4 linked regions of the Rhinolophus ferrumequinum genome follow. The protein of the gene in region 1 purifies or fractionates together with the protein of each later gene. This does not show direct contact. Links are inferred from orthologs where the notes say so. Each region holds a gene or a part of one and is shown on either strand. Other genes may lie near its edges.

Region 1 (7,151 bases):
CTTGCCACACTGGTATGATCTCTTTTACTGCAGTAAAATCACTACTATGGTCACTTTCAGTGAAGATGTTTGGAAGGTTAAGATCCGGAGGAAACGTGACCAAAAAAAGGGAGGAAAAAAAAAAAAAACACCTTCATTTGGCCAAATCTGGCTCCTAATACATTTAACTAGTTCCAGAATTAGAAAACCTTTCTGTACATTTTCTTCTATTTTTCTCTCTTTTTTTCCTTACATAATGAAATTAAAACTTTTGGAGCCCACAGTTGACATTTTTTCAGAAAATTGAGTTATCAAGGCAGTAATTATTTCACGGGGAGATAAAACTCTCATAGCCCTAACTGTCAAATAGGGCCCTTTTCAGATTTTAATTACAAAATAAAATTAGTCTGCTCTTCCTCAGAATGGTTTGTGAGTGGTTAAACAGAGCTTTCCCCCCCAATACTGGTGGTCGTCGTCAAACTCTGCTAATTAGCAATGCTGAGAAATTCCAGTTAACAAGGACATTCTCCAAGACTCTGCAGGTTCCCTGCCGTTTGCCTTCATTTCCATAAGAAGATTAAGAGAGGAGGGGAACACACTCAAATGCAGATGCAGAAAAGAAGCGTTTTTTAACAAGCATCATAATAGTACGATGCTTGGCTAGTTCTCACCTAATTACTGCAAGTTAAACCTCTATTTGCCACTAAGAAGAAAAAATAAGTCTACAGTCCCCTATCCACAAAATTGTTAGTTGGCTTCAGATATAATACTTGAGGAGGGATGAGGGGAGTTTAGGAGAGACATATCAGTGCAAAAGATTTTTAAGTAAAATTGAACTACACTTAATCAGTTAAGGATTCTTGGCAGAGGCCTATAGTAGAACAAAATCAAATCCGAATATCTCAGGAATTATGCATTTTTGTTCTTAATTTCTAATCTTGCTCTAAAAGTATGCAGCTTTTTGCTGCCCATGGAAGGGAAATGTTACACTCTCTTTATATTAAGCACTTCAATTTTCATAAATTGTACCAATGGCAACATTTAAAATTTTTGAAGGATGAAGCACCCTCTTTCAAGTCTTATTTTGATTCCTTAGTAGTCAATGGTGTATTGTTATTAGTACTGTAGCCGTCTGTTATAAATCTAAAACAGTACTGCTTCTATCATACATCGTGATTGTTATAGTTATTATTATATTTAGGGGCCAGTGATGGTGCTGAACTGAAATAGAGTGGCCAGTGATCTGATTTTTTTAAATGCATATGTTCTAAAAAAAGTCTAATGAGAAAATTGTTTCTGCTATCACCATCTTCTTTAATCTTATTTTCATAGCACATTATTATGCATAAATGCCATCCAGTTAGTTTATTGCCTTGATAAGTACAGCAGGCTTAATTAAAATAAAGCTGTAAATAAATGCAACCAATGATAACACAATTGTAATGTATTTCCATAGCTTATTTATATGATAAAAGCAATTAACAAAAGACCTAGCCAGCCCCTTTAACCTCTTAAATGAATTATTATAGAGTCAGGCACAAACACAGACATCTGACGATGTATAAAAGCTTTTATATATCATCTTAAGGAAAATTTTGTGCCTCTTACTACTACCCCTTGAGAGAGAGGGAGAGAGAAAGGTTAAAAACATTTGCTGTATAACCATCCACTATTAACATTTATTTTAATACATATACACCGCCATTACCCATACCAACCCCTTGGGTTTTTTTCTTCAAACTTAATTATCCATAAGCTTTTTCTTTTCTTTTTTTTTTTTTGGAATAATGCTATTATACTAAGCGCAGATCAATGCATACACAATCATAAAGTGAATGCTTGGTCTGCCCTTCGTGGAATCTGGACAATCATAATTCATTCATATGTTGAATCTCACAATTTGTACCTATTTTTTCCCCATGATTTAACCTCCCACTTCTCTCGAGGTTATATATGTACATTTCTAAGTTAAGCAAATTAAATCTGAGTCTTATGATTCGGTTCCATAGCTTATATGATATGTTAACTTCTCTTTTGTTTAGATTACGTGTATTTAGTTTGATCTTCCTCCCACCCCACCCCCCATTTTTTTATTTCCAAACACCTTCTTTTAAAGGTAAAATCCATAGTCTTGGGAAAGCGAATTCACCAGTAGGGGGCGCACCAGCCACATCCCTGAAACCAAGACGCTCAGAAAAGGCCGTGGCCGCCTTTTCTCCAGATCAACTCAACCTTTTCTCTTTCCTAATCTTCATGTGCGTGATTAGCTTAATATTACACTTTCAATTAAAAAAAAGACATTGCTTTATTTTGAAGAGTGACTACATTTATGCGTTTTGAGAAGGCCAGTCTCGTCCTTCCTGGGTTCCCAAGAACTGAAACAAACCATAACTTAAGAGAAAAAGGAGAACCTGCGGGTGTGTGTGTGTAAGGGGGGTGGGCCGTGATTAGAAATAATAAATTATTAAGAAAAGTCTACAGGATTCTTTTTCACAACTTTTCTGGGTTTCCAGTGAGCATACTTAATCTTGAGTTTGACAAGAACAGAAAAACTTGGGAGGGCAGGGATTGAAGAAGTTGGAGTGGGGGTGATGACGGTTATGGGAAGAAGGTTAGTAAAGAACAAAACAATGCAAAGTTTTGTAAAGATAATAAATGGAACATGGCCGACAGATACTATTCAGTACATTTTCTTAGGGTGACTAAGGGTGGATCAGAGGAGAAGGGGGCGGAGAGTGTTACAGAAGAAAGAAAATAAGTAACCCTGATGGTTTAAGCCCTTTATAAAAAAAGAAATGGCATCAGGGTTCCCCCCCTTTGTAGTCAAGTGCATTTTAGCCACAAAGATCCCAACAAGAGAGTGGAAGGAAACTTAGACGGGGCTTTGTTTGACTCCGTGTAGCGACAACAAGAGAAACAAAACTACCTATTTGTAACGGACGTGCTGCCATTGCTCTCCGCATTGAGCGCCTACCTATTGAAATCTTTACGTCCGGACAATGGGAGAGCGGCTAAAATTACCCTCTTGGGTCCAGGGCAGGCAGGATTTCTGAGTCCCTACCCCGCCCCCATCCCATCCTCCTTCAGCCCTGGCCCTACTGGGATCCCCTCTTCCCCAGTCCTGGCCTCCATCTTCCTGCCGGCAATGCCTGCACCTGTGCCTGGCGAGCACTACCCTTCCCTCCTCCCAGGCCTACAGCCCCCTCCGAGCGCACACTCCAGACCCGGGCGGCCCGGGAAATGCGGCCATCACGGTAGAAGTCACTAGGGGGAAATGCCAGGGCTGGTTCTGCTCGAGTCCTGTGAACTCTGCGTGGGAGGGAGTTTGTGAGTGCGGCCCAAATGCCACCTCCACACAGTGCCCTGGGATGCCAAGAAGTTGAGCTTAACGCTCCCCCACCGCCTGCACTCTGAGCGTCCTTCTGTTGAGCTCTTTTCTTGCCCCCAGCCTCCTTCTGAAACCGGCACAACTAAAATCCTTTGGGGGAGGCTCAGCAGGAGAATGGAGAGGGAGGACGTGCATCCCCTTTGCACCGACTGAATGGGGAAAGACTGGTGGGAGAGGGTGAGGGAACAAGCTGTGGTTTCCTGCGCCAGAGCTGAGTTGGAGGGAAGAGCGAGGTTGCGGCAGCTCACCCAGGGCCTGCCTAGCCTCGCTCTAGAGTCGGCCGCATAGTCCGCGCAGGATTTACTTTTAAAACAGAACAAATTGCGTGAAAGCAAGAAAGGTTTGGGGGATTGAGCGTTCCGTCTCCTAACTTCTTGTCGGGACAGTGCGAGAAGTGCGTGAGCGAGTGTCGGCACCTGTGGAGAAAGAGGAGCAAGGGGAAGAGAGAGGCGAGGGAAAAGCACGAGAGAGGCTGGAGTTGGTGGGGGAAGTGTGCAGAGGAGCGGGAGAACAATGACACACCGACTCCATCCAACACTGCCTGTTTCCTGAAATACCAGTAGGACAGTCGCCCTGAACCACCCACTCTCTCCTGCCCCACCCCCACACCTTAGCGGCTTTTCGCGCCCCTTCCTCATTTCAAGAGCCCGCACCAAAAAGTAAATCAATATTAAGTTTTAAGAAAGAAGAAAATCGCAGTCTTAGTGCTGTTTACCCACTTCCTTCGAAAAGGCGTGTGGTGTGACCTGTTGCTGCGAGAGGGGATACAAAGGTTTCTCAGTGGCTGGCAGTGGGAGCCGCCTCCCCCTCCCTCCATCCCCCTCCTCCCCCTGCCTCCCCCGCGCGGCCCGCGGACCAGCAGGCCCCGCCCCCTTTCATGCAAAACCCGGCTGCGAGGCTGGGCTCGAGTGGAGGAGCCGACGCGCGCTGATTGGTCGCTGGAAACCCATTTATTCCCTGACAGCCCCCGTCACATGGATGGTTGTCTATTAACTTGTTCAAAAAAGTATCAGGAGTTGTCAAGGCAGAGAAGAGAGTGTTTGCAAAGGGGGAAAGTAGTTTGCTGCCTCTTTAAGACTAGGACTGAGAGAAAGAAGAGGAGAGAGAAAGAAAGCGAGAGAAGTTTGAGCCCCAGGCTTAAGCCTTTCCAAAAAATAATAATAACAATCATCGGCGGCGGCAGGATCGGCCAGAAGAGGAGGGAAGCGCTTTTTTTGATCCTGATTCCAGTTTCCCTCTCTCTCTCTCTCTTTTCTTCCCCCAAATTATTCTTCGTCTGATTTTCCTCGCGGAGCCCTGCGCTCGCGACACCCCCGCCCGCCTCCCCTCCTCCTCTCCCCCCGCCCGCGGGCCCCCAAAGTCGCGGCCGGGCCGAGGGTCGGCGGTCGCCGGCGGGCCGGGCCCGCGTACAGCGCCCGCATGTACAACATGATGGAGACGGAGCTGAAGCCGCCGGGCCCGCAGCAAACTTCGGGGGGCGGCGGCGGCGGCGGCGGCAACTCCACAGCGGCAGCGGCGGGCGGTAACCAGAAGAACAGCCCGGACCGCGTCAAGCGGCCCATGAACGCCTTCATGGTGTGGTCCCGCGGGCAGCGGCGTAAGATGGCCCAAGAGAACCCCAAGATGCACAACTCGGAGATCAGCAAGCGTCTGGGCGCGGAGTGGAAACTTTTGTCGGAGACGGAGAAGCGGCCGTTCATTGACGAGGCCAAGCGGCTGCGAGCGCTGCACATGAAGGAGCACCCGGATTATAAATACCGGCCCCGGCGGAAAACCAAGACGCTCATGAAGAAGGATAAGTACACGCTGCCTGGCGGGCTGCTGGCCCCGGGCGGCAACAGCATGGCTAGCGGGGTCGGGGTGGGCGCCGGCCTCGGCGCGGGCGTGAACCAGCGCATGGACAGCTACGCGCACATGAACGGCTGGAGCAACGGCAGCTACAGCATGATGCAGGACCAGCTGGGCTACCCGCAGCACCCGGGCCTCAACGCGCACGGCGCCGCGCAGATGCAGCCCATGCACCGCTACGACGTGAGCGCCCTGCAGTATAACTCCATGACAAGCTCGCAGACCTACATGAACGGCTCGCCCACCTACAGCATGTCCTATTCGCAGCAGGGCACCCCTGGCATGGCGCTAGGCTCCATGGGCTCGGTGGTCAAGTCCGAGGCCAGCTCCAGCCCCCCTGTGGTTACCTCTTCCTCCCACTCCAGGGCGCCCTGCCAGGCCGGGGACCTCCGGGACATGATCAGCATGTATCTCCCCGGCGCCGAGGTGCCAGAGCCGGCCGCCCCCAGCAGACTTCACATGTCCCAGCATTACCAGAGCGGCCCGGTGCCCGGCACGGCCATTAACGGCACACTGCCCCTCTCGCACATGTGAGGGCCGGACAGTGAACTGGGGGTGGGGGGTGGGGGGATTTTCAAAGAAAAACGAGGGAAATGGGAGGAGAGTAAGAAACAGCAAGGAGAAAAACCCGGTACGCTCAAAACAAAAAAGTCGTCACCCACAGCAAATGACATCTGCAAAAAAGAACACCAATCCCATCTACACTCACGCAAAGCTGCGATGCCGACAAGAAAACTTTTATGAGAGATCCTGGACTTCTTTTGGGGGGACTATTTTTGTACAGAGAAAACGGGGTGGGGGTGGGGGTAGGGAGGGCGAGGGAATGGACCTTGTATAGATCTGGAGGAAAGAAAACTACACAAAACTTTTTAAAAGTTCTAGTGATACGGTAGGAGCTTTGCAGAAAGTTTGCAAAAGTCTTTACCAATAATATTTAGAGCTAGTCTCCAAGCGACGAAAAAATGTTTTAATATTTGCAAGCAACTTTTGTACAGTATTTATCGAGATAAACATGGCAATCAAAATGTCCATTGTTTATAAGCTGAGAATTTGCCAATATTTTTCAAGGAGAGGCTTCTTGCTGAATTTTGATTCTGCAGCTGAAATTTAGGACAGTTGCAAACGTGGAAAGAAGAAAATTATTAAGATTTTGGACATTTTAATTGTTTAAAAATTGTACAAAAGGAAACAAACTAGAACAAGTACTGGCAAAACCATCTCCGTGGTCTTCTTTAAAGGAGCAAAAGTTTTAGATTGTACTAAATTTTTTTTTTTAACTTACTGTTTAAAAGCAAAAATGGCCATGCAGGTTGACATCATTGGTAATTTATAATAGCTTTTGTTTCCCAACTTTCCATTGTGTTCAGATAAAAATACAACATGAAATTACTGTGTTTGAAATATTTTCTTATGGTTTGTAATATTTCTGTAAATTTATTGTGATATTTTAAGGTTCTCCCCCCACCCCTTTATTTTCCGTAGTTGTATTTTAAAGATTCGGCTCTGAATTATTTGAATCAGTCTGCCGAGAATCCATGTATATATATTTGAACTAATACCATCCTTATAACAGGTACATTTTCAACTTAAGTTTTTACTCCATTATGCACAGTTTGAGATAAATAAATTTTTGAAATATGGACACTGAAATTATTCTTGAGTCTTTCATTTATTTGGATAACACTGTGATTATACATAACTCCTTGGGGAATATACTGTGCTCAGCCAAGAAAGCAAAATACCTAAAACCTTGGTATTCTAGTCCAGTAGCATGTGCTAATGTAACTGCAACAATTAAATGGCTGGATGATTAATTGAATAAGTACTCGAAAAATTGAAATGCTTATGTCATTTCTAAAGTAGAAACTAGAGACATATATTGTAAATCCACCCCCTCCTTTTCTAAGCAGCATGAATAAGCATGATGGGGACTTAA
Region 2 (8,405 bases), on another chromosome or scaffold:
GACACAGACAATAGGTTAGTGGTTACCAGAGGGTAAGCGGAGAGGAGGGTGGAAGATGAGGGTAAAGGGGATCCAATATATGATGATAGAAAGAGAACTGACTCTGGGTGGTGAACACACAATGTGATATATAGATGATGTATTACAGAATTGTACACCTGAAATCTAACAATTGTTACCCCATAAACTTTAATTAAAAAAAAAAAGGAAGGTATGTAGAATGGCAATAGGCACATAAAAAGATGCTCTACATCATTAGGGAAATACAAATTAAAACCACAATGAAATTCCACTAATAGCTAAAATTAAAAAAACTGACAATACCAAATGTCGGCAAGGACATGGAACAACCTAGAATTCTCATATACTGCTGGTAATCTGCAAAATGGCATAGTCATTTTGAAAAGCAGGAAATATCTTATAAAGTTATATATACACTTTCCATATAACCATGAGAATCTACTCCTAGATATTTACCCACAAGGAATGAGAATATACGAAAGGTCGGACAATTAACTTCACTTACACAGTGGAAAGTTTGAACTTATTGTCCGACCATTCGTATGTCCACACAAAGACCTAGTCGTTATTGTTCACAACAGTTTTATTCATAATAACCAAAAACTGGAATCCCAAATAACCATAAACCGGTGAAAGGATAACCAATTGTGATACCTATGCTACTCAGTAACAAAAAAACAAATTACTGTCACATAGTATATGCATGAATCTCACAAGCACTACCCTAAGTGAAAGAAGTCAGGTATAGAAGCAGCCAGATGGCTCAGTTAGTTAGCGCCCAAGTTCTTCACAACAGAATTGCCGGTTTGATTCCCACATGGGCTAGAACAACGACTTGGAGCTGATGGGCCCTGGAAAAACACACTGTTCCCCAATATTCTCCCCCCCCCCAAAAAATGTCAAGTATAAAAAGATTGCAAAATCCATTTAAATGAGACCCTAGAAATGGCAAAATATACCGACAGAAAGCAAATCAGATTGCCAATAATTGGGAGTCAGTGGAGAAGACTAAATGGAAAGATGCCTCAGGAAACTTTTTGGAGTGGTGGAAATATTAATAGTTTATATCTTGATTGTGGTGGTGGTCATAAAATTGTATATATTTGTTAAAACTTATTGAAATACATAGTATATGTAAAATTATACCTTAATAAAGTTGAAAAAATGTAATACACAAACTTAAGGCAAAGAGGGCACATATATCCATCAAACTGTCAACAGTAGTCTTCTTTGGATGGTGGGAAAATAAATGGTTTTTATTTTCTTCTTTGTACTCTTTTTGTAGTTTTCATAATTTTTACAATGTACTCACTTATGTAAACAGAAAAAAATTTTAAATTCATATTTCTTAACAGGATATCATATTGCTACCCAAAATGTGGGTAATAATAGATTAGTTAACAAATGTTATTCTTTAAAAACAAAGTATCAGAAAAACCAGTCCGCTTGTAAATGGAATATCCAAATAGTAAAATGTACTTTTGACCATTTTTTATGTTAGAAATAGAACATCATTACTTTAAATTAAATATATCAAAATTTGTTTTGCATTTTAATTGCAACAAGTAATCAGAAAACACAATTAAGTGGGAAAAAACAGCTCTATTAACAAGTGAAACCATAATAAGAGTTTTATATATAACATAATGGAATTATAACATTAATTTGCTGCGTATTTGGAAAATATTAAGTCATGTGGCTCTTAGAAACACACCTCTCTCCTGTAATGGGATAACTTTAGATATCTTTCTAGGAGCTTAAGCCTGAAACAAAACAAAAATCCCCAAACCACCAAAAAATGAGAACACTCATCGACTCTGGACATGTTGTCATAGGACTCCTGTCCTTGTTGGAGGCAAACACTTGGATTTCTAGTATTTCCTTCATTATTGACTCTGAAACAATACTGAGGACCACATAATCCACATCTGTATCACATTTCACTAGAGTTGGATAATCGTGTGATTTAGACAACTATAAAAACAACCAGGTAAGTGAGACACAGGATGCTGGCCTCATCACGTCCTGAAGATGTCCTTGTCTAAGAAAATTCAGGATTTATATCTCAATGAGGATTCTAACAAGCTCTACTTTTTCCCATACATGGCGCCTTACCTGGTAGAGTTCTTCCAGGTTGTATTTGATGGAAGTACTACTTTGTATGGCTTTCACTGCCTCATGAAGTTTCTGCCAGGTGTCCTGAGTGTAGTTATCAGGCAATTTAGGTCTGTCTGTAAATCCAGATAGAGTCAGTGAGGAATGACATCTATGCTAAGTCATAATCTTTCAAAAAACAGTCTATGAAAATGTACTTTAAAAGACACAAGTAAGGAACACAAATTAGGTTTTTTCAATACAAAGTATCGTATTTATAAATTTGTTAGGTTACAGACTATGCAACCGTAACATCTGTTTGCCTAAATACACTTCATATTGATACTTAGGATAAAAACACACAGGAAATATACAAATCTTAGTTTCCTTTCACATAAGTTGACTTTACAAACGTATACATGGAATACTTAAGTTCTATACAACATTTAAAGTCGAGTTAAATTGTTCAACGTTGGGAGGAAGGTGAAGAATAAGCTTATAATTGCTATCTCTACATCAAAGGTGCTTCTTATTTTGATAGCATCAGTGATACAACTGATGAAAAGTGGAGGAAGTAATAAAAATTACATCACGAAGAGCGTCAGTAGCTGCTACTTATTCTTGCTCTGCCATGCCAATCAAGATACTTGAATTATTTGGCCTATTTTATTCCAATTGGACCAACTATACAGATTAAGGAGAAAGCTGCTACCAGTAAACTCAACCCGCTGCCCTCACCGCAGCTTAAGCCGACATTCGGAAAGGCCCGCGCCCTCATCGGGGGAGCCCGGGGACCCCCACCCTACTCTGAGAGTCTAAAACCGGGACCAATGACCGCCAACTGGGAAGGAGACTTCCGAACAGTCGAGGGTCCAGCGGACCACAACCCCCGCAACCCCCACCGCCACTGGTGCTTTGAGGCCGCTCCGCCCAGCACCTCCAGCCCTCGCGTTGCTTCTCCCCAGGCCGACCCCCAGCTCTGTCCCGGGCCGCCCCCCCAACTCCATCCTCGGCCCCCAGGCTCCTCCCTGTAGCTGTCCTCTCCTCCTCGGCCCACTAGGTCTCCCGTCCCTAGGCCGCTCCCTGTACCCACCTCGGAAATTCTTGATCACTAGTTTCTTGGAGCCGCCGCTGCCCCCTGGCTTGGAGGTGACGGCGGCCGCGGCGAGGGACGCGGGCTTGGTGAGGCCGTTGGTGTGCCCGACGAGCGCCGAGAAGTTGCCCTTCCTGGGGGTCTCGTCGGCCATGGCTGCGGCCGGGAAGCAGCGGGCGCCCCGCCCCGTCCGGCCGCCTCCTCCGCCTCCTCCCCGACCCGCGCGGCCGGGCACCCGGGCCTCTGCTCTCCTTTCCCCTCAGCAACTCCAGGCTCCGTCAGCGCCGCTCAGTCCTGGCCCAAACGCCGCTTTGGCCTGGCCCAACCGCCGTCCGGTCTTCCCCCGGCCCCAGCTCCAACGCGACCGTGGGCCCGACCCGGCCCACGACCCCGAAGCTCGCGAGCGCGGCCAGTCCGCGTCAGCCGCGGTCCGTGTGAAACTTGCAACAGTCGAGGGGACGGCGGAGCGCAAGCCCTGACAGCTCCCGGGGGCCCGGCGTGTCCCGGAGCACTGTAGGGGCGCGCACGAGGCGTCCTCGCCGAGGGGAGGCGGGGGAATCCCAGCACAGAGACCCCAGCCTTCCTCAGCCCGGGCGCGCTGCCATGCCGGGTCGGAGATCACGCTCCCGCAAATACTCCCTGCGGAACCGAAATTCGGGGAAAGTGGGGTTGGAGGCGCGGGGCCGAGAACGGACCACGGACCGGAAGTGACGGGCCGGCCCGGAGCTCAAGCTCCGCCCGGTCCTGGGGGTGGGTACCGTCATGGCGCACATCACTATAAACCAGTATCTGCAGCAGGTAACGTTCGTTGGGTCCAATCGCGCTCGGTCTGCGGAGTCTTCTCCTTCCCTTGGCCTGCTGGACTTTGGGGTCCAGTTGGGCGGCCGGCGCGTGCGTGGCCGGGGTCGAGGTAGCCTGAGTCCTTGTTAGCCAGACGGGACGACTGAGGCAGGCACACCACTGTGTTTCTTAGGGACCCCGGGAGTACGCCGGTGGTCGCTGCCCTCAGTTTAGGGACGTGAATATATGTGTGTGTGGTGGGGGGGAGCTTAGTCCTAGCAGATGCTGAAGGGACCGTTAACCACTCGAAGAAGTAAGGGGTTCAGCCCTTGTGTAGTCATCAAAAGCCTGACCTAAGGGCCTGACTTGGAGTTTTGTTTCGCACAGACACTGGTGGAAGTAGGAGTTGGAGATAGCAAGTAATGCTGGCTGCTAGCCTCTACTCATAGCTACCACAGTAGACCTAGCCTTAAATAAAAGCTCTTAGGATAGGTCTACTGTGGCCTTATCTTTGCAGAGTTAACATTAAGTTGAGCAAGGACATAGACATTGGAGAACCAATATGACTATAGAATCTCTCTAGAATTTTATGTTTTTGTTAACCTTTTACAGTTTTCTTGCCCACTCCTAGTTCCATTTCTTTTTTTCCCTTTTTTCATTCAGGGTGCTTGAATGGTGTCGTACTCATGTGGACGCTGAATGTAATTTGTCGACTAGATAAGTGGAGGCATATAGAAGGGTGTGAAGCTCGCCCCTAGGCTGGGTGGTAAAGCTGAGTGATTTGCCAGTGTTCAGACCTACTCATTCTAGCGAGGAGTAAAGATAGTATTCGTGCTGGTCTGTCTGACTCTTTCATATTCCCATTTCACCAAACTACCTCTTGGTCTTGTTCTCTGCATTCTCAGAGGAGCACAATGAGAATCTCCTTCAATTGTCTATCTTATTTGATGAAACCATTTGGGGTGATGATGAGAAGAAGAATGATAGTGCTTGTTGAATAGTTACTAAGAACCAGTTCTTTAAGATAGTTGGTCACCATCTCTGCCCCCCCCCCCCGCCACACACACACACACACACACACACACACACCAGTGATGAGAACTTTGGCATCCTTTATCAGCTTCCTTGAGGCAGGGGCACTGATGGGACCAATATTTTATGATTACTCAGAATACATCAACAAGTAACCCTGCACAAATTTATTCCATATTGTAAAGTGAATCCTTAAAAGCTGGATTGCTGGCTCAAAATGTAAGTGCTTACATAGTTTTGTTGAATAGTCAAGTGGCAAAATCTTCATTAGATAGGGTAGTGTAGACTTTCCCAGCTGATTCCCTGAGTGGTACAACAGATGAGGAATTGGTTCCTTTTGGTGTCCTGGTGATTTATGCCCCATCTCTTCTGGCTGCAGGTGCCTGGGCATAGGATTACTGGATCGGGGAGTAGGTGTATGCTCTCACTAGTAGGTACACCAGTGTCTCAGAGTGGCTGCCACTTCACCCCTTCCCTAGCAATGCATGAGAGTTTCAGTCACTTTATATTCTTGGAGTGCTTAGTATGGTCAACCTTTTTAATTTTAACTCTTCTGGTAGATGTGTAGAGATATCATGTTGCATTTCACTTGTGGGTAAGATGTGAGCACCTTCTCGTTTGTGTACCATTTGGATATTTTCTTTACGATGTCCCTGGTCAGAGTCTTGCGTGGATATAAAGTTTATATATGTAATTTTATTGTAGATAAATTACACTATATATGAAACTTTATGCTTGGCTTTCTCCTCACATTGTTGGAATTTTTATGTCATCTTTGATACACATAATTTAAAAATAACATTTGGTTTTCTAATACAAATGTCTTCTATAATACAGTCTTCCAGTATAGAAATATATAAGATAAAAGCCTTCTCAGCCCTCACCCCAAGGGGTCAGCTGGTGTGGCGTGGGGTCCTGCACTTCTTTCTGTGCTTGCGTGTCATACATACTTTGTCTTTTTCTCCCAGATCAAGTTACGCAGTTTTCCTGTGACTCTTTTTTTTTTAATAGAACTTTATTGGGGAACAGTGTGTACTTCCAGGACTTTTTCCAAGTCAAGTTGTTGTCCTTTCAATCTTAGTTTTGGAGGGCGCAGCTTAGCTCCAGGTCCATTTGCCGTTGCTAGTTGCAGGGGGCGCAGCCCACCATCCCTTGCGGGAGTCGAACCAGCAACCTTGTGGTTGAGAGCCCACTGGCCCATGTGGGAATCAAACTGGCAGCCTTCAGCATTAGGAGCACGGAGCTCCAACCGCTTGAGTCACCGTGCTGGCCCCTCCTGTGACTCTTTTTTTTCTTTTTTCTGTTTTCTTTCTTTTTTTAAAGCATATTGCGGACACATTCCTATGTTATTACATGTAGATTTATTTGATTCTTTTTCACAGCGTACTGTGACACCATTTATTTAGCCATTGCCATCCAATTTTTCTTTTATATTTAGATTGAATAGAACCGCCTTTTGAATTTTGGAAATATGTGGTTTATAAGCGCTTTCTTTTCCCTTAAGCTGTGTAAGTGAATTTTCAAATGTTTGCTTGTGTGACCCAGTAAAACTAGAATAAATCACCTTCATTAATAACCAGATAATAAACTGGCTTATTCTGCCCTCTCATTGTTTTTCACAGTAAGTCACCTGTTTATTTGCCTCCAGACGATCTCATTTTGAAATATAGTTATTGTTTGCTGGCTAAAGACAATATTGACTATAATATTTTGATTATGCTGACCCTTTCAAAGTAGGGAAAATGAATTTTGGTGTTATACAATGTGTTGTTTAGGTTCTATTAGAATAGAGTGTTTTATTTTCTACTTAGCTTTTCTTTTCTCCAATGCTGCAGGTCTATGAAGCAATCGACACCAGAGATGGGGCATCCTGTGCGGAGCTGGTATCTTTCAAGCATCCTCATGTTGCCAACCCACGGCTTCAGGTATGTAAAAAGAGTACACACACAAAGGGCTACAGGCTATCTGGCTTCCTAAGAGAAGTTTAGAGTTTGAGCTTCTACATTGCTGATTATATTTGGCAGTGTATAGGCTATACCTCAAACTGTGTAAACCAGTTTCGGGAGTAGAAGCAGGCATTTATGTATTTATGTGTTTATTTATTTTTAAATTTAAAGTCTCCTAGGTTGTTCTAATATACAGAACATATTGAAAACCATTGCTCCAAATAGAAATTAGTTCCAGAGACTTGATGAGACTCAGGTTCAGCTTGCTGGCCAGACACTCCATAGTTGGTGCTATGTGTTTCGTATTGATTACATCAGGGGCATGCACATCTGTTTGCCCATTTGTACTCTTAAGACTGAGTTCTTCAGTATAAAATTCCCTGTGAACCTTCCATCTGATGGTTCCACTCACTGGTGGCCATTGTCTGAATCAATTATTTCATTAGAGACTGTAGAATGATGATTTTTCTGAATTTGATATTTTTCCCCTCCCACATTTATATGTGTATTATATCAGTATCAGAGTGGACTCATTGATTCCCTTTTTTTTCTTTTAATTCAGTGTGCTAAATATAACCCATTGGGATGCTCATATTATCTAAAATTTGGCCATTGAGAAGAAAGGCAGAGTTAGAAATAAATGTCAGCTAGTCTAGCCCAGGGCACAGAGAGGGTGGTTCTATCACCAGGCACCTGAGGAGTGATTCCTAACATGGCATCTTTAATTCATTAGACCTTATTTATGTAAGGTATTATATGCCTTATTTATTAAGCACATAGTAGCTACTTACTAAATATTTCTTAACTAACTGGCTGTTAAACTTTAAGATATGTATGAAAGTGCCTTACACTATTTCCTAGCCTGTGGTAGATAAAACATTGTATTCATCTAGTGCCCTATACCTAGTTCATGCTTGATGAATATTTGCTGAAGTAATGAACCTTTTGTTTAGAAGTGCTAAAGTGTAAAGTGTTACTGTTAACTGTAAAGTGTAACTTCTTTTGAAACACAGGTTTGTTTAAATATCTTTCTACACATTGCATTCTTTCCATGATTGTTAATTTTATTTTTGCCATTTTCCTTCATATTTAATTTAGTTGGCTTCTCCAGAAGAGAAGTGTCAACAAGTTTTGGAACCCCCTTATGATGAAATGTTTGCAGCTCATTTAAGGTGAGGAAGTAAAACAAGCAAATTTTGAAATTGCTGAATCGACTAAGGATTTTATTTAACATCATCTAATGCTTGAAGCAGTGAATGATTTACTTTGAAAAAGTAGAAAAGTGTGTTTATAATTTTACTTTGGTAAAGCCTGTGAAAAATGTGATATTTAAAAAACTTTAAAATGTTAATAAACATGTTTTTCATTTCAAGGATCACACTTGTTTTTAAAAGTTAAAATTGTATTGTGATCGTGTCTTCATATGTCTATTGTGTGAT
Region 3 (8,351 bases), on another chromosome or scaffold:
CTGAGAAGCTGCACCACTGTCCTTGCTGTGGGCTCCCATCCTGCCCTGGGCCCTGACCACCGCACCCTTCCCCGCCAAATAATAATAATCACAAGTGTTATTTATGCAGTATCTCCTCTGCAGGCATTATACTTGGTACTTTATATGCACTATCTCATTCAATCCTCATAAAAAACTCTGAGGTAGGAGCTTCTACCCTGTTTCCCCAAAAATAAGACCTAGCCGGACAGTTAGCTTTAATGTGTCTTTTGGAGCAAAAATTAATATAAGACCCAGTCTATATTACATTCTATAATATTAATTTTTGCTCCAAAAGACGTATTAGAGCTGATTGTCTGGCTAGGTCTTATTTTTGGGGAAACATAGTATTTGTTCTGTTTTTCAGATGAGAAAACTGAGGCTCAAAGAGGCCAAGGTCTCACAACCAATAGATGTTACAGGTGTGTGTTATTGAGGGTCTAAGCCAAAGCAGACACTCCAAGGGGCATGACTAACATCTAGCAGGCCTTATCATTGAGGAAGAGCAAGATCTTCCGGTTTGGTGCTCACACCGTGCCAGTTAAATATTCTGATCATCGCGCCACCTGTGGGCTTCCTATACCTGGAGACTTGATGTCCTTTCTCCCATCAACCTCTAGGGATGACCAATCCTGAGGTGATTCAGAACCTAGAACGAGGCTACCGCATGGTACGACCTGACAACTGTCCGGAGGAGCTGTACGACCTCATGATGCTGTGCTGGAAAGAGCGTCCAGAGGACCGGCCCACCTTTGATTACCTGCGCAGTGTGCTGGAGGACTTCTTCACAGCCACGGAGGGCCAGTACCAGCCCCAGCCCTAAGAGGCCTAGCTGGCTGGGACGTGGAGCCCTCCCCGCATCTAGCCAACCTGGCTGGGGAAGAAGCAGTTCTTGTGCCGTTCCCATGTGGCCTATGCACATATGGACCCTGCACGTGAATCCTATCTACATGTGACACATCCACTTGTGTCTTATACACAGGTTCTTGAGTTGTGTGGGCTCTGCACATGTGCCTTGTGTATGTGTGGCCTGTACATATATGTCTTGGACACCTGTCCAAGCTATCCCTCTCTGGGCCCTCCTACTTCCTGAGACCACTAAAGGAGAGAGGCCTGTGATTGACACCAGCTTCTGCCCACCCCTTTTGCCTTTCTCCTGGTCCTAAAGAATCTCTCTCCTGGAGGGGGAGACCTTTCTAATACCTCTGTGTGCTCCTCCTTGGTGCCTGTCACACATCAGGAGCTCAATAAATGTCTGTTTGTTGATAAAGGTTTTACATCTCTCTGCTCCCCACTCCTATCTCTTCTTCCTTGGGAGGGGAGAGTGGGGGTTCAGAAGATGATAACCCTGAATTGCGGTGAACCATGGGATGAGGGGATGTCTGAACTTTTTCCAGCTCTGCTGACGCTGGGGGCCAAAAGGAGGTCCCGACTCTTTGCTGTACGGGCTCTTTGAAACCCTTTAAATCCCCACCCCAAAGGCTTCAGGGCGACTCCTACCTAGAACCTCCTAGTATATATCCCAGGACCCTCTCCCTCCTATTACATAAGAGCAATAGCAATTTTTTGCGTGGGAGGGAAGGGGAACAGGACTTTATTGGGGAACAGTGTGTACTTCCAGGACTTTTTTTTTTTCCCAAGTCAAGTTGTTGTCCTTTCAATCTTAGCTGTGGAGGGTGCCGTTCAGCTTCAAGTTGTTGTCCTTTCAGTCTTCGTTGTGGAGGACGCAGCTCAGCTCCAGGTCCAGTTGCCGTTGCTAGTTGCAGGGGGCGCAGCCCACCATCCCTTAAGTGTCAAACTGGCAACCTTGTGGTTGAGAGGATGCGCTCTGACCAACTGAGCCCTCCGGGAGCTCAGCGGCAGCTCAGCTCAAGGTGCCGTGTTCAATCTTAGTTGCAGGGGGCGGAGCCCACCATCCCTTACGGGACTTGAGGAATTGAACTGGCAACCTTGTGGTTGAGAGCCCACTGGCCCATGCGGGAATTGAACAGGCAGCCTTCCGAGTTAGGAGCATGGAGCTCTAACCGCCTGAGCCACTGGGCCGGCCCTAGCATTTTTTTACATGCTAATGATTCAAGGGCTATATTTGGCTTCAGATGTGTTTTGATTCACTTTCAAGATGTTTTTAAACATCGAGTTAATTCACTCATTTAACAAATATTTATTCAACATCTACTGTATGCCAGGCACAGTTCTGGGCTCAGGATATACAGTAGATAAAACAGTTTCTGCCTTTGTGGAGCGTACATTCTAGCAAGGGAAGACAGACAATAAGCATCACAAAGATGTGAATGATACGGTATGCTACAAGGTAATGAGTGCTAAGAGGAAAATAGAGTTGGGTAAGGGGAATTAGGAATGTCATGTTTGGGGAGGTTAACATTTTTAAAGACAATGGTCTGAGAAGCCCTCATTGAGAAGGTGACTGAGCAAAGATTTGAAGGAAGTGAGTGAGTGAGCCTCCTGGTGTGGGGGAGGAGTGGTGGGGCAGAGGAAACAGCCTGAGGAAGAAGCTTCCCTGGCCAGCTCTAGAAGTAAAGGCTGCTTGAAGGAGGGCGATAGATCCTCTGGGGCTTTGTGGCCTTTGTAGGAGACATATTGAGGAGGCTTTACTAGGATTTGTGCAGAGCCATGACATGATCTGACTTACATTTTAAAGGATGGCTCTTACTGTTATGTTGATAATAGACTGAATTAGCAGTCAATTTATAAAACTAGATAGATTTTGCATAAATCTCCAGATTTCTGTATCTCTTGAAAAACCAGGAAGGTTTGGCTCCCTTGCACTTATCTGTCCTAGAGCTGAGTAGTGATCACCCCGTTTGGATGGGGTATGGGCTCTCCTTTTGCCAGAATACTCTCCACTCTCTCTTGCTCCCAGACAATGAAACTATTAGCAGCTATTTATCATCATGTTCATGTTCTTCTTCTTACAATATAGAGGAAAATGAAATTTTTTTGGCACCCACATTTCCATTAAAAAGTGAGAAAATTGAAGATACCTGAAGATGGCAGTGTGTTTGTGGAAAGATGGGGGAAAGTGAAAAGGAATTCAATTGAAGAGAGTGAAAAAGAATTCAATTAAAAAATATGCAAACAAAGCGCCTGAATCAAACTAATATAAACAATGTAAATATAATATATATCCAGTCATTTACATCACCTGCCTGATCTCTGTTGGCATTTGAGTGTGTGATGTCCTGCATTTTATAAAATGCTGCCACACCCACAACCTCCTTTGGAAACTGTGCAGCCATAGAGTCTGTCAACTTGTTTTCTTATCCTCTCCATTTTACAAAGAGGGAAATGGAGGCCCAGAAAGTTTCCTAGCTAGGAAGCAGCAACACAAAATTGGGAATAGAGTTTATTCCCTGGCCTTTTGTTATTTCTTTAATAGAACTGCCCAGTATTAGATCTCTTATTACCTTCATTATTAATGGCCCAATACAATTCCCAACTGAGGAACCCAATTGTCCAAGCACTCTTTAAATGTAAAGAAGCATATTGTATATTATTGACTATAGGACCATGAGTGAGTAACTTACTTGGCCCATAGTAAGCACTCACTAAATATTAGTGTTATTTTAATGGCCCATCACAGTGTTTTTCAGCCTTTCAGCTTTCAATACTGACCAGTTGATGACTGATCTAGTGCAGTGGTCTCAAGTGTAGGGTGAGGGGCAATTTATACTTCCTCTAACCCCTCCCCTCCTTGCCCTGGAGACTTGCAATGTCTGGAGACAATTTTGGTTGTCACATCTTGGGGTGAGGGTGCCAGTGGCATCTAACGAGTAGAGGCCAAGAATGCGGTTAAACATCCTATGGTGCACAGGACAGTCCCCTACAATAAATAATTATCCAGCCCAAAATGTTAATAGTTCCAATAGCTAGAGAAACCCTGCTCCAGGTTCAGGGGACCATCAGTTTTCTCCTAGCTAAAAGCACTCCTCAGTCCTCTTGGGCATCTGCATCAGGGAGGTAGGCTTGGAGAAAGAGACTAGGTTCTGCCACGTTGTTACAGTGTCCCTGATGTATAATAGGCATTCAAAATATATGTACAATTGAAAATTGAATTTAGAGGAAAAACTAATAAAAAACAAGAAAAAGAAAACAATTGAATTTAATTACTAATTGTGTGAGTCTGAGCAAGTCACAAAGGTCTCAACTTCAATATCTTTATCTATAAAATGGGGATAAAAAGGCCTCCTCCAAAACTGTTGTGAGGAATAATTGAGATAATCTGCACAGTACTTGGCCCACAGCACTTTTATTTCGTTTGTCAGTTTAATTCTCTTTCCTCCAAATCTGAGTTATAATCCACGTTCAGCCCTTTCACTAGCTGAGTGACCTTGTGCAAGTCACTTCCCCCCTGTAGACCTCAGTGGATTCTGTGTAAAATTGTACAAAGTTGGCCCCTTATCTCCAAGCACGCCTCCAACACCGAAATGGGACTGTGAAGTTTACAGACCTGCTTTCTTCCCCCGGGACTAATGGTACGGTCCCCGGGCAGCTCCCCCACCCCCCTGTCGCGGACCTTGGTACAGGCCCAGGGGGCCCTGGGCTGCCTCTCCGGGCTCCTCCGGGCTGCCCTTGCCCCCTGCCGAGTTCCGGGCCGTCCCTGCGTAAGCTGATTGGCTGGAGCGGTGCCCGGGCTGCGCGGCTATAGGTGAGCCCGGGAGGGGACGGGCGGGGCGGGCTGGAGGCCCGCCCCCTCCCCCCTGGGTCGGACGCTGAGCAGAGCTGCGGGCGGGAGGCCGGACGGACCGACGGACGGACGGGAGGGACGGGAGGCGAGCAAGATGGCGCAGACTCAGGGCACCAAGAGGAAAGTCTGTTACTACTACGACGGTGAGCACCGTCCTCGCAGCGGGGGCGGGGCCTGGCCGGGCCGGATCCGGGAGCGGGAGGCTGGGAGAGACAGGCGTTGGGGCAAGGCTGAGAGAGGAGGCTGAGAGGAAGACGAGGCTGAGAGAGGAGGCTGAAGGGAAAGGAGGTCCGGGCTGAGGGAGGAGGTTGGGAGGAAGGAGGCCGAGACTGAGGGAGGAGGCTCAGGATGGAAGTCTGGGCTGAGGAATGAGGTCGGGACAGAGGAAGGAGGTCGAGACTGAGGGAAGAGGCTCAGAGGAAAGGAGATCAAGGCTGAGGAAGGAAGCTGAGAGAAGGAGGTCGGACCTGAGGGAAGAGGCTCAGAGGAATGGAAAGGAGGTCGAGACTGAGGGAAGAGGCTGAGGTCTCCCGAGAGAGTCGCCTGAGGTGATCTTGGTGGGGAATTCGGAAGACGTCTGATGAGGAGACTTTGAGGGGACTCCTGGAGGGGAGGCTGAGGCCAAGGGCCGGAGGCAGAATCCGAGGGAGGGGTGCAAGGGTATGTGTTCCTGCTGAGTGTACAAAGGCTTTTCACTGCCCCTTTCCTTCCTCATCCTTTTTGGGGAGAGTCCTTCAGGAATCACCAACTAATCGGCACCACTGCCCCTCCCCCAGCCCCTGAGCAGGGCCTGCAGTTGCTGCTGGGCAAGGGGGTCCCTCGGGTTGGAAGCTAAAGGATGCGAGCTGTTAAAACAGACTTTTTCATGTCACCACACTCTCTGGAGACCTCATTCTGCACTAGGTAGCATTGAGCTGCTGGTGGCCATGGAGTTGATCGAGTCACTTCCCATCTTCAGCTCCGTCTGGAGAGGAAGATAGACAGTGACAGAGAACTGCTCTCTGTTATCTTGCTGGGATAAAGGAACTTTCAGAGTGTTACCGGGGCACAGGAGAAGAGGCACCCAGCCCAGTGTGAGGAGTCAGGGAAGGAGGTGCCATCTCAGTTGGGATCTGAAGAACAGGGGTTATTAGCCTGGCACAGGGCAGGCAAAGATGACAGCAGTTTAGAGGGGAGAGAGGGGACAGCTGCTTTGAAGAGCATCAGGGATGTGTCCATAGGGCCGAAGCGCAGATTTGAGGGCAGAGTGTAGAAGTGAGGGAACAGGGGTGAGGGAAAGGTTGCTGGTGATGAGGCTGGAGAAGGCATTAGGGACTAGGTCACGAAGGGCCGGGCGTACTGTCCTAAGGAAGTTGGACTTTATGCTGAGGGCACTTGTGAATCATAGACGCTTTATGCAGGTTAGTGACATCATCAGATTTCTACCTTAGAACTCTCGCTCTAGGACAGAAATTAAATTCATGAAGGTTGGGGTAAGGAAGAAGGCAAGGATCCCAAGTTTCTGGTTTGGGCAGTTTGATGCCGAGTGGAGGAGATCATGTCCGTTGATAACTTTTTTTTTCTTCAAGAAATACTTGTTGAGATGTCTGGGGGACATCCAACTAGATCGTGTTCAGTAGGCAGTTAGCCGTTCTGGTCTGCAGTTCAGAAGATAGAAATGAGGAGATTTTTGATAGACGTCAGCATACATAGTTGTCAGATGGGAATTTTAGTTACAAAAGAGGATGCCATCACCCAAGAAGTTATACAGGGTGAACGGAAGAGGATCCAGGGTGGAATTCTAAGGAAGTGGAAAAGTCTAATGTCCTTCGTGCTCTGTACTTCCCCGGCCATAGCACTTGTCACTGTGTATTGTAATTACCCATTTACTTTTTTATACTTACAGATGGTAAATGCCTTAGGGAAAGGAACAATGTCTAGTCTACCTCTATATGCTCTTCCCCCAGAACAGTGCTTAACTCATAGTTGGCTCTCAGTAAATGCTTGCTGATTAAATGAATAAAAAGATACAGAGGAATAGCCAGAGATGTAAGTGAACCAGAAAGTGTTGGGTTACAGTAGCCAAAAGAGGGAGGGACAAGTGTTGGCAAGAACTGTTTCCCGTGCTAGGTTTGGAACTGAAGCTAGATTGCTGTAGCGTGAGGAATGAATGGATGGGTGAAGAGGAGACATCAGGCTGGACCCTTTTTAATGAAACTTGTCCAGGGCAGAGAGAGGGTTGCTGATAAAGGAGAGATGTAATGGTTGAGAGTTGAGCATATTCAAATTCTTAGGGAAAATAGCCAGAGAGGAAAGGTTGGAGATACAGGAGAGGGGCTAGTCATGATGGAGGTTCCTAAAAAGACCAGGTGAGATGGACACCAGAGCACAGGTAGGGACACTAGCCTTCAAGAGGAAGTTCCTTCTTGGTGAGAAGGTAAGTGGCAAGAAAAAGTTCAAATGTAGGTAAGTTTGGTGGGGAGAGTCGAGGGAGTTTTCAAGATGAAGTTGGGGAATATTCCTTTTCCTGAGGGCAGTTGGTAGAGCAGGAATCTTGAAGAGAGTTAGCTGTTAAATAGCTGTTGTGAAAGAAGGTGCTAGGAAAATAAATTTGGAAGGATTGCTGGGCAGTAGTGAAGACACGTTTGAGGCTGGATCCTTTGACTTTGTAACCGTATCAGTTTGCACAGTTTTGTGACCTCTACATTCTCAGTTTAAAAAGAAGAAAAGAAGGGACCCAGTGTTCAGAGAAGGGAGACTTCTTACTTTTTTTTTTTTAATAATTTCTATATATATAATTTTATTGGGGAATATTGGGGAGCAGTGTGTTTCTCCAGGGCCCATCAGCTCCAAGTCATTGTCCTTCAATCTAGTGGTGGAGGGTGCAGCTCAGCTCCAAGTCCAGTTGTCGTTTCCAGTCTTTAGTTGCCCGGGGCGCAGCCCATCATCCATCCCATGGGGGAATTGAACCGGCAACCCTGCTGTTCAGAGTTTGCGCTCTAACCAGCTGAGCCATCTGGCCGCAGACTTCTTACTTTTAAGAAACAGTTTTGCAGTGAGGTCACTAACTTGGGACTCAAATTTGGCTCTGCCACTCAGAAGCTTTGCAGTACTGGGCAAGTCACTTCACCTTTCTAGGCCTCAGGTCACTTTTCTGTGAAACTGAAAAACTATGAGAACAGTGGGAAAAGCTCATCTAAAGTGTAAAAGTAGTATCTGAATTAAAAGGATTATTTCTTTTAAACTCTCTCAGCAACTCAATTCAAAACTGTTAAGAAGGTGTTTCTGGGCACCACCCTCAGGTACTCCCTTAGCCGTCTAGATAAGGTATCTTAGTTCCTCAAGTCTAAGCCTTGGCTGGATCCAGGCTTGATAGGCAAGGGAGTTGCTAGGGATCAAGGCCCCTGCCAGGAACTTGCGTAAGTAGGAACCCAATTATATAACATGATAATGGTCATGTGGCTCCTGACTGCCTACACAGGGGGTCTGCAGCTGGGTGTCTCAGCCAGTGCCTTGAGAACCTCTTCTACCCATCCCCATGGCAGATAAGGTTGTCTGAGGGGCCCTGGGAACTTTTCTGCCTCCCTTCCCGACTACTGCATTTCAAAGTCTGTGTCTGTATGGGACTAGGATCCCTACTGAACGCCAC
Region 4 (8,038 bases), on another chromosome or scaffold:
TTACAATTAGCAGTATTGATATGAATAAATCATTCTAGTATTCACAAGGTTTCTTACCAGTGCTTTCTCATCAGAACTATTTATAAATATATGTATTCCACACAAACTTGGTAGGTGGGAAAAGTCACAAGCATTAGATTATATCCACTGGAGGGCACTCAACATGACCAAAGCATGCGATAAAAACATGCCCTACTACTCCTCTCACTCTGCTGCCTGTCAGGTCTGAGGGAGACTGGGAGTGGGGAATGTCTCTTAAAAGAAAAGCTGCCCACAATTTTTAAAAAGTCAAAAAAGTAAACTCTTTTTTAAAAGGGTTCCTAATGTGATTGACTTTCTAAGAGCTGCTTTTTCCTTCAGGAGAAAGTAGATTATATACATACTTCAAGGATAACAGGGGGTTCAGGCCTCAACAGAGGGATCTAGGTTTTTAAACCAAGTCAAGCTCAGTCTTGCACGAAACACAAAAGAAGCATTCTTAAAGTAAACAGAGGAAATAAAGAACTTTCTCCTGAGTTTAAGTGATGAAAAACTATACGAGTTAACACCTACTCATTTTCAAGCAACACTAATCACACATTTTTCTTTCACAGACGCTAAAAACTATATATTCATTTTAGCCTATTAGCCTAGTTATGTATCACATTCATAATTACAACACTATTACACAAACAATAGTCTGTTAAAGAATGAGAACTGACTCTGCAAATCAGTTATCCTCTCAATGAGGGGTAACAAGAGGCTACCTGCTCTGGACGAAGAAGCAGTAGCAGCAGCTCCTCGTCTATGTTTAATATTTACTTTTATGGCATAAAAATGTTTTTTAATCAACCTATTTCAACAAAAGATATTGTATTACCAATAAAAAGAGGGCTACAAGGAAACAACCAAGTTAATACAACTAATGTTTTCAAAAACAATGTCAGAAGTCAACATGTAGCCCTACAAAAGGGTTGCCAACACTTTTTATTAGACATTTGTCCTGCTCTAAAAGCATTCATCCTTTCTGCCGTGGGTTAGCAATCAAGCAGGCTTCCAACCAAGCTCAAAGTACAAACTTAAAATTTACCACCTACTCATCTACAATGATTATCAGCAATTAGTAAACCATGAGAGAAACAAAATCATGGACAGATGTACTGTTTCAATAACAAAAGTTTCAGTAGGCTGAACATACTATGTAGCCCATTTATGGGGTTTTCATTTCACTGCTGCTTGTAACTTAGAGTGATAGTCAAACTTTTGAATTGTTCACATCTCTAGTTTCAGCAAGACTTAACACTCCTCTTCCCACTCCTCCCAACAACCAAGAAAAGGATGTATGAAGCTAGTTTTCTTAAGCACCACATCTCAAAATACGTTTAGAGAAACTTGCTGAGGAGGAGGAGGGAACTATTTATGAAAACAGACTTCATTTATATGAACAATTTTTATTCCAGTCATCACTAGGTAACAGTTGGAAGCTCAATTCATAGTTTCTTAAGTTTTAATACTGGAATATACATTTTTCTACCTAATAACCTTGGTAAAGGAAGCAGTCCGATAATTAGTCCAAAAGAAAGAACACTCTTGAATGCTTCTTGACACGCGAACACTGTTAAATGCCTCATTTTTTCATGAGCCACATTTTTAAAAACTTGGTTTTTCCTGAAAGCTATTTAAAATGACTATTCTGGCCTCTGGGAGAATCTCAGGCCTGGGACTCTAAATTACATGCTACTCTAAACTTTCTAGTACAGTTTTTTATTTCCCCCTCAAGGACCTCAGACTTAAATAGTCTCAACATTCCTTTAATCCTATAGAATAGCCTTCTGCAAGTTTTTCAAGTTACTTTTGCAATCACTTTAGGGCCTTGCCCTTGGACGTGGCCTTCAGAACAAAGACTAGGTCAAAGTAATGAATATCGGGGGCAAATTAATCAAATTTTGTGGAAGGATATTATCAAATGCACTTTATTGTTCCTCTTTTTTTAATCCAGAGACTTTGTGGTTTTAAATGTAAAAGTAAAGTAAATGCAGCAGCAACCTTAGGTCAGACAAAAAAAAAAAAACAAAAAAAATCTCCAAAATACGTTTATGTCACTAATTTAAGCAGATACTAAACCGTAGTAGCATTATGCAAATAACATTTTAAGCTATGTCTAACATTTCCTAGAATGAGGACTAGTTAACACGAAGACATATGAGGGTGTTGAATGTTTACCGAGAGGCAATAATGAAACGGCTTCCTAAATTCCAGACAAAATACTTAGTAACTTAGCCATCCGAAAAACATTAGCCTAGACTTCATCAAAGGATAGCCGTCTCTTCAAGTTGATGTCTAGTCTAAGCCACCACTATTCATGACACAAAGCTCTCATTTCACGAAAACCACTCCTCGATTTCCTTTTGCCGACCTCTGCATACCAGCAGGCCGGTCTCTCTTCATTCACCACTCACAACCGGGGGGCGGGTGGGGGGCAGGCCACAGATGTCTGAAAGATACAAACTAGGAGACAATACTCCCTCCAAAAGGGAACAGAAAACGAAGGGAACAACTACCCCCACCTGCCAAAGCCTTCCAGTTTAGCGGATTCAGAAGAGGGCTGCGAGAAACTTCCAAAGTCTCCGTTCGAGTCCTCTTCCCCAGGCAAAACAATGCAAGAAGTTGCAACGCCTGAATTTCCCTCGGCCCGTTTCGTAGCGAGGGAAACATTCACGCCGCTGAAAAGCAAACGTGCTCTAAAAATCAAGTTTCGCTGCCATAAAACTAGGGGAATAAATAATTCCTCCGAACGAGATCCTCGAAGCAGTCGGGGGCTGCACCCCGCGCCTTAACTGGTCAGAAACAGGAAGGCAGGCGCCCCAGCCCGCATTCTGACTGGGGTCTCACGCCCGATGCCATCCATTGCAACTCCCGGGGCACCGCACGACGCTTCACTCACCTGCACGGCACAAGAAAACATAGGTGCAAGACACGGATCTCCTGTGTGCAAATCCTACTGACGCATCGCACCGTTTGCACTGCTAGTTTGGTTCCTCTAAGGTTTAAAGTTGCTTCGATTGAAACAAGCGCCAGTGCCAAACTCAGGCGGAGCGTGGAAAAAAAAAATACTAACAATTCTCTTAAGAATTTTCCTTAAGGACGAGGGAGGGAATCTGGAGAGAAAGTCCACTAGCCCTATCCCCACGGCAGAGGGGACCCAGGGTGGTGTCCCAGGCCCGGCGCCCGTACCCCAACTCCCCGCTGGGAAGGCGGAGCCCCCGTCCCCACCCCGCCCCCCACCCCGGCCCCGGCGCATCCCGAGGCGCAGGGTCCCTCCCCCAAACTCGGCCGCGGCCGGAGCCCCTGACGGAAACCAGAGTCCCGCCGCCCCCCACGCCAGCCATCCCAGCTCTTGGACGCGCCCTCGCGGCGCCCCCTCCCCGCCAGCGGCGCCCCCAAAACCCCCGAGAAGCAGGGTGACCGAAACCCGGGCCCGGCCGCCGCCCTCCGCCCCCGGGTGCAGCCCGCCCCCGCCGTCTCCCCGGCGCCCCCAGCTCCCCGCTCCGGGCCTCCGGGGCTGCGCCGAGCCCGGCTCTCAGCCGCCGCCGCGATCGCGCGCCCTCGACGAAGTTTGGCTCCGAAGAGGGAGCGGGAGCAGCCCGGAAGGGTAAGGAAGGGAGCGCCCAAGCACCTCAGGGGAACAGGCTGCTCCCGCCGCGGGAGTCCGACCGTCCTCGGCCTGCGGTGGCGGCTCGGCGGGGACTGGAGCTGCTCCTCGCACCGTCCTCCGTCTCCGCCTCCCCTCGCTCTCCGCTCTCGGAGACGGGATAACGCGGCTGCCACAGACCGAGAGGCTTAAAATGGCGCCGCACAAGGACCTCTTATAAGTCGCGCAGGAGCCGCTGTATCCTGCCGCCAGCGGCGCAGCGCGGAGCGTTCCGCCGCGCGAGGACAAGGGGCGGGGCGCGGGAGGACGCGGAAAGTAGTCCCCGCGCCGCGGAGCCGCCGGGCGCCGTCCCAACGCCCGGGGCCCGGGCGGGGCGCCCTCGCGCTCCCGGGACGCGGTCGGGGATGGAGCCTCACCGCTGCCCCGCCGTGCGGGACCGGAGGGCGGCCCGCGGGGGCGCCGTAGTTCGGGGTGGGCTGGAGGGAGGAGGCACCGGGATCCTCCACTGTCCCGAACCGGACGCCCCCGCCCCGCGCGTGCCCCGAGCCGTGAGACCCGACGCGGGGCTTGCCGCACGCTTTCTGCCGCCCGCGGGTGGCGGCATCTCGGCCCCGGCGCTCGGGGGCCGCGCGGAGCAGCCCGCACAAGTCCTGGGAGGGCGGAAGTTCGGGACTCAGTGGCGGAGGCGCGGGCGCTGAGGTCGCGGCCCGTGGGGCCACTGGCGCTTCTGGGCGCCGCCTCCGCACCGCGGTCGGTTGGGGGACTCGGGCGGGTTAGGGCTTCCGCCGCCGTTGCGGGAGGGCCACACACTCCCTGAAGGGCATGGCTCCCAGCGGAGCTGCACACCACCCCCAAGCCCCCCAGTGTCCGGATCGTGGGTCCCGCATCCCACCCGTCGGCTCAGCCTGAATCTGGAAGTGAAGTACCGGGCGGAGCCGCCTGCTACCCCCACTCCTGAAGGCTGGGAACTCTTCGTTAGAATGGGCGCCTGGCCCCGTAATTCAACAAGTCGTTATGAGTACCTACTGTGAACAAATGACGGATGGAAATGGGCTAAGTGTACAGCCCTGTCAATTAGGTTAATTCTTATAGATTCCGCTTTTATGTGGGTCCACCGTGCTACTAAGTATCAACAATTTTTTTTTTTTTTGCGGGGTGGGGGAGGTTGGAGAAGATGCATTTCTATGGTATTACTTATTTGAGAGGTCCAAGTATGTTGTGAATGGAAGGAGCTATACCGATTAGGCAGCTTCTCATTTTTTAAAACTAATTTTCTATCCTTCAAAAACATTTTCTAATTCGTTTTAATAGGCTGAAGTTGGTCTTGATTTCCCTTGGAAATGTCTCCATTGTAATCCAGCAAGATTGGCGTTTGTCAAAGCTGAAACAATTATGATCGATTCACTTTCTCTAGCCTGTCGTTTTATGCTTATTTTTCTCCAAAACGATGGAGAGAGTACAAAAAGCAACAGTGAAAGTTATCTTGAGGCTTTTATCCCTGTAATTAATGCATGCAAACAATAGGTCTTTATAGTAGGTACAGGCAGGAAACCCACTTCCTCATTCACTCATGGAGTGGGACATGTAGTTTTAGGCATAGCTAATGCTTCAGGGCCCAACAGGTTCTTTATATATATATATATTATATATATATATATATATATAAAATATATATATATATAATATATATATATAAAATATATATATATATAATGTCTTAAAGATATGTTCCTATATACAGTGGTAATGTCAGCTGCTATCACCATAGCACATGTGGGCCACTGCAGTGGATAAAATCCACATACTGACTGAGATGATGTTCGTTGAGATCCATTGTCTAGAACGACTTTTACATTTGTATCTTTGCTAGTAATTCTGTGGAAGTGTTGCAAATGGTTGTGGTTAACCGGGCTGCTCATAATTAAAACAGATTGAGCAGAAAAAGGTATTTCATCAAAGCAATGTTTCTAATATAAACGTTTTCGAAAGTGTAAATAGCATTTCCAGGTACTAATCCCCAATTTTAATTCTCGTACACAGAATTAGGGAATATACAGTTGATTTGATTAGCCATACATTTAAAATCAGATGACTGATTAATCAATATTGAAAGATTTTTTTTTTTTTTGTACAGATGTTCCCTTTTTCTGTGTTCAGTTTCTTGGTTTTTGTTTTTTTGCTAAATAAGGCACACTGTTAAAACTGTTTAAGAAATATTTGCACTATTAGAACACCTACAGAATAAAAACTCTATATTCATATTTCTCTATTCAGGTGCCAAAGTAATTGAAGGACTTTTCTATAATTTAGATGTCTTAACCTAAATTTAGAATTAAGATTTTTAAGTCCCTAGTAATACTTTAAGCAAACACACAGTATCAAAGGAAATATAAAATTTGCAACAATGCAGCAAGCTGTTTTTCCCATCAAATTTAAGTGTACTGAAGAATTACTGGGTGACTAGCATTAAAAAAAATTAGTTGAATTTAACAAATTACTGAGAATTTGTATTTACTTATCTCAAAAAACAAATTGTTTCAATTGTCTGACCAAAAATATGAGATGAATAACTTCTGTGAAATGAAGACAAATGCCATCATTAAACCAATGAGAAATACAACAAAATACCTGATGAGTTGGTGAAATAAGTGATTTTGTAAAACAACGATTCTTAAAAATTAACCTTGGGCAATACGTTTTGTGAAAAATACTTGATTATCCTTGTACACATTTTCCTCCTAGAGCCAACCACTTGGGTTTGACATAAGTTAGTTCATTTTGTAAAACTGCAAAAGACAAATGGTTCTAAATTTCAGGCTGTATTCCTAGAAACCAGAAGTGTCTTCAGCTGGTTTAAAAGAGGAGGCATTACTTGCCATAATATCAGACCATTGGCACATCAAGCAGTGACTACATGGACTCTGAATACAAAGCATCCTCCTTCACTAACACCCATCTTTTGAATCACCTTTAGGCAAAGAAATAAATGCCCAGATTGTTTTTGCACTTCCGACAGAAACATTAATCCGGGCAGCACTTTAAAGAAGACCCGTTCACTTTCTGCACAGTTAACTCTATCAAATCTATTCATTAAACATTTATTGAGCACTAAGACAATAAGCTCCCTTTAGAGGGAGATGGATGACTGGCTCCTTTTGATTAGGTCCCTTAAAGTAATATAAAATTGTAATTGTTAATCAACCTTACTTGAGAGTCAACAGAAACAGTAGAAAACAGTGAAAGGAGGGTGTGGCCTCTGGACTCTATATCCGAATCTCTCTGGGAAGAATCCTCTCCCAGCAGAAAGGTAAGACTAAGTAATACTCCATGCATTTATGAACAATAAATCCTAACTCTCTAAGAATGCCTGTTAAAAATATTTCTTTTGACAACCTGAAAACACTGGACAGTAGTCAAGATCAGCTTTTCATTTAGCAGTTCACCGAGTGGGCTATTTATGGATTGGAACTTTTTGATTTGCAATACATCATCTCAGGGTTCACTGTTATCTCTTGATTTCTTTCCAGCTGAACAGGCTAAGTAGTTGTAAATACTTCTTGTCAGACTACATGGTTGGCTATTCTCGCACACAGGAGTAATCTAGGAACCTACTGGGCAAATTCGGCAGAGAGCTACTGTGGAAAGCTTGCATCTGGTGTGCACTGCAGACCAAGGGAGGGGCGGTGAAGTTGGTGGGAGGCGATGGCCTTGGTGGTGGCGGTGGCAGCAGCAGTGGTGGTGATATTCCTGGCCGCTTCAGTTATGCCAGGAACACTCTTCATGCTGGGGGTTATGTGTTCTCCAGGCCTTCATTGGTTTGACACAACAGTCCTTGCCAGACTAAGGGAGTACATTTTAATGGCTACCACAGAAAGTGAAGGAGAAGCAATGGACACATCATCCACTATAATCAAAGAGCACAAAGGTGTATGTTTTGTCAGTGTTTCTAAGAACTAAGATAAGTACGGCTGTATTGCGTAGAAATTATGCTTTGGAGATATAACCCCCCCAACATACAACACACACACACACACACACACACCTCTATTAAAAATTTCAAAATGGTTGCAGATATTTCATTCACAAGAAGGTTAAAGGCGTTTCCCATCGAAAGAAGGATTAACTTACCCGAGGATTCTGGGACTGCAGATGGATACTGCGGCAAAATCCTAAATTCATCGAAAAAATCATTTCTGGACTCCAGCTGCTAAAAATAATAGAATTATAGTAATTCATGAATAAGATTAGAACAAGCCATTTTTCACATTCCAAAGTGTTCAGGAAAAAAAAATGATTCTTTTCTTTTAACTCATTTCTTAAACAATGCAAATTTTAAAGTAGCTTTTCTTTCCAGAGCACGAAGCGCCATGAAATCGATAATTTTTGATCTTTCGGTTAGTAGGCAAC

The links.
Region 2: the proteins of SOX2 (region 1) and CUL4A purify together in Homo sapiens (affinity purification with western blotting; 3 studies listed by BioGRID, with this or other methods). This does not show direct contact. The link is inferred for Rhinolophus ferrumequinum from reciprocal best matches to the Homo sapiens genes SOX2 and CUL4A.
Region 3: the proteins of SOX2 (region 1) and HDAC1 purify together in Homo sapiens (affinity purification with mass spectrometry, with the first as the bait; 3 studies listed by BioGRID). This does not show direct contact. The link is inferred for Rhinolophus ferrumequinum from reciprocal best matches to the Homo sapiens genes SOX2 and HDAC1.
Region 4: the proteins of SOX2 (region 1) and CTNNB1 purify together in Homo sapiens (affinity purification with mass spectrometry; 3 studies listed by BioGRID and IntAct, with this or other methods). This does not show direct contact. The link is inferred for Rhinolophus ferrumequinum from reciprocal best matches to the Homo sapiens genes SOX2 and CTNNB1.

The regions. Positions count from the first base shown.
Region 1 is NC_046285.1:62,840,250-62,847,400, reverse strand, and holds SOX2 (transcription factor SOX-2), read left to right. Parts: upstream 1-4,336; 5' UTR 4,337-4,786; coding exon 4,787-5,749; 3' UTR 5,750-5,858; downstream 5,859-7,151. UniProt on the Homo sapiens protein: Transcription factor that forms a trimeric complex with OCT4 on DNA and controls the expression of a number of genes involved in embryonic development such as YES1, FGF4, UTF1 and ZFP206. Binds to the proximal enhancer region of NANOG.
Region 2 is NC_046287.1:55,720,487-55,728,891, reverse strand, and holds the start of CUL4A (cullin-4A), read right to left. Parts: upstream 3,842-8,405; 5' UTR 3,363-3,841; coding exon 3,209-3,362; intron 2,253-3,208; coding exon 2,137-2,252; intron 1-2,136. UniProt on the Homo sapiens protein: Core component of multiple cullin-RING-based E3 ubiquitin-protein ligase complexes which mediate the ubiquitination of target proteins. As a scaffold protein may contribute to catalysis through positioning of the substrate and the ubiquitin-conjugating enzyme.
Region 3 is NC_046292.1:22,158,223-22,166,573, forward strand, and holds the start of HDAC1 (histone deacetylase 1), read left to right. Parts: upstream 1-4,709; 5' UTR 4,710-4,817; coding exon 4,818-4,866; intron 4,867-8,351. Other genes in the region: tyrosine-protein kinase Lck, read left to right, coding at 639-841. UniProt on the Homo sapiens protein: Histone deacetylase that catalyzes the deacetylation of lysine residues on the N-terminal part of the core histones (H2A, H2B, H3 and H4).
Region 4 is NC_046300.1:12,304,668-12,312,705, forward strand, and holds the start of CTNNB1 (catenin beta-1), read right to left. Parts: upstream 3,816-8,038; 5' UTR 3,656-3,815; intron 1-3,655. UniProt on the Homo sapiens protein: Key downstream component of the canonical Wnt signaling pathway.